Schizosaccharomyces pombe: one gene and its partner. The protein of the gene in region 1 binds, or shares a complex with, the protein of each later gene. Each region holds a gene or a part of one and is shown on either strand. Other genes may lie near its edges.

Region 1 (3,755 bases):
TCATTTTGGGTGGACGACAAAAAAATAAGCGAATATCTTCAACCAATCAGGATAAACAGCGATAAAACGAAAACGGGGAAGTCATTAAAAAATGGCGGTTAATGTCAACAATGAACAGTTTGAAAGCATAGAATTCCAGATTTGAATTGAGGGAAACGGAGCACTACAAAGATGTATAAATACAGGCATTCTGTCCCAGAAGAAAACCAGAATTCGTTCAAGTCTTCTATTTTACATATTCACTCTTTCTATTTCTTATTCTTCACTCTACAAGAACTCGCGTTGGGTGTGAATTTACATCCCTCTTGTCAACAAACCTGCTCCGTTAGCTAATTTTCTGTAAATTTGCTTCGATCTTTCTTATTCTAATCTTTTAATCCTTTTTCTTTTGGAATTTTGCCTTTTTAAACTCTCCCTTTTTTTGAATCAGTCAACAAATTATAATTTTCTTCTTTTATTTGCTAGTTCATCGCTTAAACTATCTTTCTTTTTCTAACTTATCAACGAAATTTTATTTTTTTCACATACATTATGAAGATCACCGCTGTCATTGCCCTTTTATTCTCACTTGCTGCTGCCTCACCTATTCCAGTTGCCGATCCTGGTGTGGTTTCAGTTAGCAAGTCATATGCTGATTTCCTTCGTGTTTACCAAAGTTGGAACACTTTTGCTAATCCTGATAGACCCAACTTGAAAAAGCGCGAATTCGAAGCTGCTCCCGCAAAAACTTATGCTGATTTCCTTCGTGCTTATCAAAGTTGGAACACTTTTGTTAATCCTGACAGACCCAATTTGAAAAAGCGTGAGTTTGAAGCTGCCCCAGAGAAGAGTTATGCTGATTTCCTTCGTGCTTACCATAGTTGGAACACTTTTGTTAATCCTGACAGACCCAACTTGAAAAAGCGCGAATTCGAAGCTGCTCCCGCAAAAACTTATGCTGATTTCCTTCGTGCTTACCAAAGTTGGAACACTTTTGTTAATCCTGACAGACCCAACTTGAAAAAGCGCACTGAAGAAGATGAAGAGAATGAGGAAGAGGATGAAGAATACTATCGCTTTCTTCAGTTTTATATCATGACTGTCCCAGAGAATTCCACTATTACAGATGTCAATATTACTGCCAAATTTGAGAGCTAAACTCATTTTATCTTCATATTTTTTTTATTTTCTAGTATGTTAGCCCACACATCTTTACAAAGCCATGTGAAGCAATTTTTTAAATTAATTGCTATTTTCGATCTATTATTTTACCATACGATCTGTATTCCTATTCGCAATAATATTTTTAATTTTCATCTTAGTCTTCATATTGTAAAAAAAAAAAAAAAAAAAAAAAAAAAAAAAGAAAAAACGTATAGTAGTTACAATATTACTGAAATCTACAGTACTATACTTCTTTCAGTTGCTTTGTTTTTTAAAGTTAAATAAAACATCAATTTAAAAACTGACTATTAAACCACATGATTTGCGGATTGCTTAAGTAATAATAAAAATGAACACTACCAATTGTGTTAAGCGATAAAATTAGTCATATCCCATATAAGAAGAAAGCACTGAAGTTTCAATTGAAATGCGGAAAGCTACTGCTCATTTAAAATGCCTAGGACCTGCACAAGCATAGCAATGTAAAGGAGCTGCACTTGAAATATATATGACAGTTGAGATCCGCAAAGCATTGTTAGAATATATAAAATTTTATTCCAAAACTTTTTACTGTACTTCCGCATGTACTGTTGAACATTCAACTTTGTAAGAGACAGTAATGTCGTGAATATATTTTTCAATAATAAATTTTAAACTGAGACCATTGAACGAAGGGATCATTTGAGTTCATAAATTTTAAAATTTGAACAGAAAAGGAAGGCCTTTGACGATATCTCTTCTTTATTTGTTTTTCTTCGTCTTACCTTGCCCTATTTATGGTCTTCTTAAACATCAAATTACACCTTAGATAGTAGCTCTTTAATGATTACTCAAATTGTCTTTTATTACTAGGCCCGGAGTCTGTACAATCTAACTAGTTTTCTAAAAATATGAGAGATCCAACTGTGTATTATATCTAAACACCACCACTCCACTCTTTTACAAGAAAGCCTAATACTTATATTCAGAACGGTTTTAAGCTCTCTGATTACTGATAGAGAACTGAATTACAAAACCAAATTGTCCACTTCATTATTGAGCTGGTTTCTGTCTCATCTGTTGATATCTGAGATTTTGCATCATGGTATACATACTTGGAGTGGCTGTAAACGACGATAAACCTGTGCGGTTTGCTCTACTTTCTTTTTATGGAATTGGACATGCCAAGGCTGAAGAAATATGCGCAAAATTATCATTTCACAATACGTTAAGGGTTCGAGAGCTGACAAATGTTCAATTGACAACGTTGTCGCAACTGCTATCAGGAATGACTATTGAAGGTGACTTACGGCGTCAACGGAATGCTGATATCTCAAGATTGGTGAATATCCGATGCTATCGGGGAATGAGACATGTAAACGGGTATGAAAAGATCATTTGTGAACGTAGCTGTCTTCGACAACTTTTTCAACTTAACTAATGAATATTTCAGGTTACCCGTTAATGGACAGAACACTCGGACGAATGCAAAGACTGCTAAGAAGCTAAACAAAGTCCCACGACGAGGTTATATGACACTGTCGCCCGCTTCTACAAGGCCCATCACATGGAGTTTTTGTCTACCGAGAATGGTGTCTGTCTTTCAAAAATTAAAACATATTCATTAGCTAAAATAACGTTTATGAAATCAAACTTCACTTATCATGTACACTTCGTATTACCTCGATTTGCTTGATTCTGTTAAAAAACCAACAACCGGGATACGAAAATGAAAACGTATTCTATTTTTATTGTGTGAGAGAAAAAGCTCTCGCCTCGTAATTTCCTTCTAATATACAACAGCACTCAAAAAAAATACAATAAATCGAAAAATTGCATTGAGGCGATACTTACTGTGTCCTTTCAGTAGTAGGTACAGTTTGCTTCCTTTGCTGCAACTGATGAATTTGTTCAGGTGTTAGTTTTAAAGAACTGGAAACAGCGTATGGCTGAAGCCTGGGGACCATTCTACCAGCTATAGGCGAGACACCCGCTGATGAATTGTTACTACTATTTTGTGAAGCAGCTACAGCTTGAAAGGCTGCTAGTTGCTGGTTGTGTTGTTGTGCACCAGCAGCAACAGCGGCGTTTTGCGGCCGTAGAGCCCTGTTTTGTGATTGCAATTGTGCAAAGTTTCTCTGAGCCTGTATTTGCTGTATTTGTGCCTCACGCTCAGATTTCAAACGAGAAAGTTCGAGAGGGGAAGGAACCGGCGGCAATTTTTCAGTTGAAGCTGCAGATGGTGCAATCGCTCTCTTGGTCATAGTGGGTTTTTTAGCAAACTCTCTCTTTTTAAGGATCTTTCGTATAGCTTCAAATATAGTAATGGGTCGGTAATGTCTTGATACAGTTGGCAATAAGAAGTAAGAATTATGTTTAATCAAATGGTTAGGTGTTCCTTCATCCCGTAAGGATAGATGTTGGCTAACTTTATCCGAATGTCTTAAGGATTCATCTAATTTCTGCTGAGCGAGTCTTGCATGGGAGCCAGTCAATTGGACATTGGCGGCTCTGGGATCCACTTGAATCCATCTTTCAAAACAATCCCACGCAGTCCGCTTCTCGGCAAGCGGTATGTACAAACCTGGTGGTGTTAACCTACTGGCAACAAATTCCCAATTAAAGGAATATCG
Region 2 (3,755 bases), on another chromosome or scaffold:
GTTTCATATTCAGATCACTCCTGATGCTGTCGAGATTTTGAAGAACGTTTTACGTCGCACAGTTGAGCGTCAAGCAGTTGAAACCCATATTGTTGCCAAACCTGGTGAGTTTTGTGTCGGCTATTAAGGGATTTTGCACATGTCACCTAAACTCTAAGCTTTATTTTCTATTTAAATCTTCTTTCTGCTTTATCAACTAGGCAAATTTTCTCGTCGACGCTCAAATTATTTTTACAGTAGTACATTCACTTGTCAAAGTTGACTGACATCTACTATTGCCTTTCAGTTTTTTGTATGAGTATGTAGAGTTATGTGCATTTCTTTCTTTTATGATTTTTTTTCATCGCTTTAGAGTGGTATTTAGTAGAACGTAGTTGTGTTGAAACGTATTCATAGTTATGTCTTATATAACGGTTGTTACATCATATTTAAACTGTCAGAATCAGCTCCTTTGCAATTTATTTTACACAGCTATTAGCAATTCGCTTCGCTTATCTTAGATACTTGTGAGGCACAGACTGTCAAAATTTGTTGAAAAGAAGCTGAAACAGTAATTTGCGCGTATGAAAACGTAAGTATTTATGTTTAACACCTAATATAATCGGCATCGTTGGAAATTCATCTTCGTAAAATTCGGTCAATTACCATCGAACTTCGACGTTGTCCTTTTGAAGCAACATTTAAAGGCCTATACCTCGCCAAACTCCTTTTTCATGTCATCTGTCAGTCTGCCATGAATTTCTCAAAAACATTACTAAAAAATTCAAAAGACGGGATTTCAAGTGTAATATTTTCACCCTCTGTCAAAAACGAACTAATTGCAGGGTGCTGGGATGGTAGCTTACTGCATTATCAAATCTCGGAAAATCCCGAACTTTTAGGGAAATACGATTTATCAAGTCCTATTCTTTCTTTAGAATATACAGATGAAAAAACTGCTTTAGTAGGAAATTTAGATGGGACAGTTACTACCCTCGATCTTAATACGCGAAACCATGAGTTTTTAGGAAACCACGGTAAGGGGGTATCGTGCATTTCTAAGTTGCGTTTGGAAAGTAAGATATATATTTTATTAGCCAGCTATTCTATTAACATTTTAGACTGTTTCATTAGTGGGTCTTGGGACAAATCATTTCGTGTTTGGGATGTTCGCGTAAAGCAACCTGTCGAGGGACAGGATATAGGAAAAAAAATTTTTGCAAGTAGCTCGAGAGATAATATATTGGTTCTAGGCTGTTCAGAAAGAGAAAATTTGGTGTACGATATTCGAAATTTAAAACTTCCATTTCAGCGACGTCCTTCTAGTTTTAAGTATATGACTCGAAGTGTTTGCTGTAACCAAAATTTTGAGGGATTCGTTTCTTCCAGCATTGAGGGAAGGACATCTGTTGAATATATTAACCCGTCTCAGGAAGCGCAAAGCAAAAATTTTACCTTTAAATGCCATCGGCAGATACAAAAGGACTACGATATTGTTTATCCAGTTAACGACCTAAAATTTCATCCGATTCATCAAACATTGGCAACTGCTGGGGGAGATGGCGTTGTTGCGTTTTGGGATATACAAGTCCGAAAACGATTAAGAGTGTTAAATCCTTCAAAGATCAATATATCATCTATTTCTTTTAATGTTGACGGAAGCATGCTTGCAATTGCCACTTGTGCTCAAGAAGAAGCCGCTGGTAATATCTATGTTCATGCTTTGGAATCCAACTTTGCAGCTCCAAAGTTAAAGTCATGAAATCGCTCATCAAAAAGCTTCATCCATGTAAAATCTTATGCAGATTCTTTTACTGCATACATATGAAATTTATATTATTTGAAGCACTCCTATTTAATGTTGTAAATGTTCAATATTTCCTCAGTGCTTCAAAGTGATAATTACGGTATTTATTATTTTTTATTCCACTATATATATTAAGTTAATAAGCAATTAATATAAACGCAAGACCATATTTATATAAAGAACGGGTTACGATTAAAAATACTTAATATAAAAACAATGTGACACTATTTGGTAGAAATTATCTAATTTACTTTGTTTCTCTTATTCACATTGTTTATAGTTATTAAAATAACTATAATTATACAGATCGCTAGCGCAGTTCGTAATTTATTTTGACTATTTCATCTACTGAGAATACACTCACAATTTGAACACAACAGAGAAGCCTTCTAAACCAGAAATAAAAAATATGAGGGCTTTGGGCCACCTGAAGCATAAAGCATTTCGTGATTTATTATGTAGGAGACTTTTTGCTGAACACGAAGTTGAACGTCAAAGCAATCTCTATATATATAGAAATCCTGAGCTACCTCTTCGGGTGCGTTTAGAAGCCAAAAAGCGGATTGAGGCTTTACCGACTAATGCACATCCTACAAAAATAAAAAATCGCTGTATTGAGACAGGTAGAGGCCGAGGTGTATTTCGTGCGTTTGGACTTGCAAGGGTACGATTATAATGTCATATAAATGCATTTTTGATGCTGACTATTTCAGTTTCCTTTTCGACTTAAAGCACTAGCTAATAAATTACCCGGAGTTCGGTAAGAATAAGCATTTTTACTTTTGTCACTAATCCATTCAGCAAGGCATCATGGTAATAATCGTTGTTTGTATTTCAATCCATGATAAGCGTTATTGAAATAAAAAGCTTTAATTATCTTCCGTGAATCCATCATGTTTATTATTAGCTAATATTTATTCGCCGTTTAAATGAAGTACAATTATTTGCATGATTACATTCCAAAACTGAATATTTACATTATCAATTGTTTATGATTGCCAATAGTTAGGTTCAGGTTCTGTGAGCGGCCTATCCATTATACTTTTAGTAGATATAGAACTGGTATTGTTGTTCTCTGTATCTTCATCAGGTGTACTATTTTTTTCGTTGTCTTCCTCTTGAGAAGTATCATCCGTTTCTTCATCTTCACTTTCACTGGTTGATGTTTCATATTCTCCTTCAGAACTTTCAGAAGTTTCACTAGCATAAAATTCTTCAAGCGTTTGCTGGCCAACAAATTTTGGACGGTTAATTGCGTTAGTATCTCCAAAATCACGTTTAAAGTTATCAGAAGATAATGCTTTCACACCCGGTGAATTGTTTGAATAAATATTTCCCGTATGAGGGTTTATTGGCAAAACATCCTTGATACCTTCTCGGACAGAATCAGGCGGTAAATCAGAGACATCAGCCCAGTTAGGGATTGGCTCATATCCCATCACGTCTTCATTCAAACATAAACTAGCGGTACCAATGCAGTAGTCCCGAGAAGCAATAATTTCTTTTTGACTATTCCCCTTGCTTTCCAATACGATGCGCCTAGTAAATTCAGAACTCGGTGTACTAGCTAGTTCTTTGTAAAACCTAGCTCTATCTCGTAAATCGTAACTCATGTCAAAGTGTATCAAAGATAAAACATAATTAAAAAGTAGTGACACGACATCATCTCTTGACTCTAAATCGTTTTGCTTCTCTTCAGAATGAGACAAAACATATAGTCTTACCGATAATTCGAGAATTTGATACTTCACTTCTAATGTCTCATCAGCAAAAGTTTTAACAGCAATGCGTAGCACATCAGGGACTAGTCGCGGTATGATTAGTATATGCTCCGAAATAAGCCATAGTGTAACGGATTTGGCCCGCGGTACTTCCAAAGTTTCATACGTTGCAGCTAAATACTGCAGATATATTTCTTTAGGATCATTATGAATGAGAAGCCGAAGTGAAGAGGCAGCTTCTGTCACGA

The links.
Region 2: sws2 (region 1) and mrp2 share a complex: the UniProt entries of both Schizosaccharomyces pombe proteins name them as parts of the mitochondrial small ribosomal subunit.

What each region holds. Positions count from the first base shown.
Region 1 is NC_003421.2:983,461-987,215, reverse strand, and holds the start of sws2 (mitochondrial 37S ribosomal protein uS13m), read left to right. Parts: upstream 1-2,061; 5' UTR 2,062-2,224; coding exon 2,225-2,505; exon of another isoform or gene 2,506-2,575; coding exon 2,576-2,750; 3' UTR 2,751-2,972; coding exon of another isoform or gene 2,973-3,755. Other genes in the region: P-factor pheromone Map2, read left to right, coding at 532-1,137; vid21 (NuA4 histone acetyltransferase complex scaffold subunit Vid21/Eaf1), read right to left, coding at 2,973-3,755. UniProt on the Schizosaccharomyces pombe protein: Component of the mitochondrial ribosome (mitoribosome), a dedicated translation machinery responsible for the synthesis of mitochondrial genome-encoded proteins, including at least some of the essential transmembrane subunits of the mitochondrial respiratory chain.
Region 2 is NC_003424.3:2,504,285-2,508,039, reverse strand, and holds mrp2 (mitochondrial 37S ribosomal protein uS14m), read left to right. Parts: upstream 1-2,155; 5' UTR 2,156-2,195; coding exon 2,196-2,450; exon of another isoform or gene 2,451-2,499; coding exon 2,500-2,546; exon of another isoform or gene 2,547-2,587; coding exon 2,588-2,603; 3' UTR 2,604-2,775; downstream 2,776-3,755. Other genes in the region: threonine aldolase Gly1, read left to right, coding at 1-127; mitotic spindle checkpoint WD repeat protein Bub3, read left to right, coding at 734-1,055, 1,101-1,741; AP-3 adaptor complex subunit Apl6, read right to left, coding at 2,776-3,755. UniProt on the Schizosaccharomyces pombe protein: Component of the mitochondrial ribosome (mitoribosome), a dedicated translation machinery responsible for the synthesis of mitochondrial genome-encoded proteins, including at least some of the essential transmembrane subunits of the mitochondrial respiratory chain.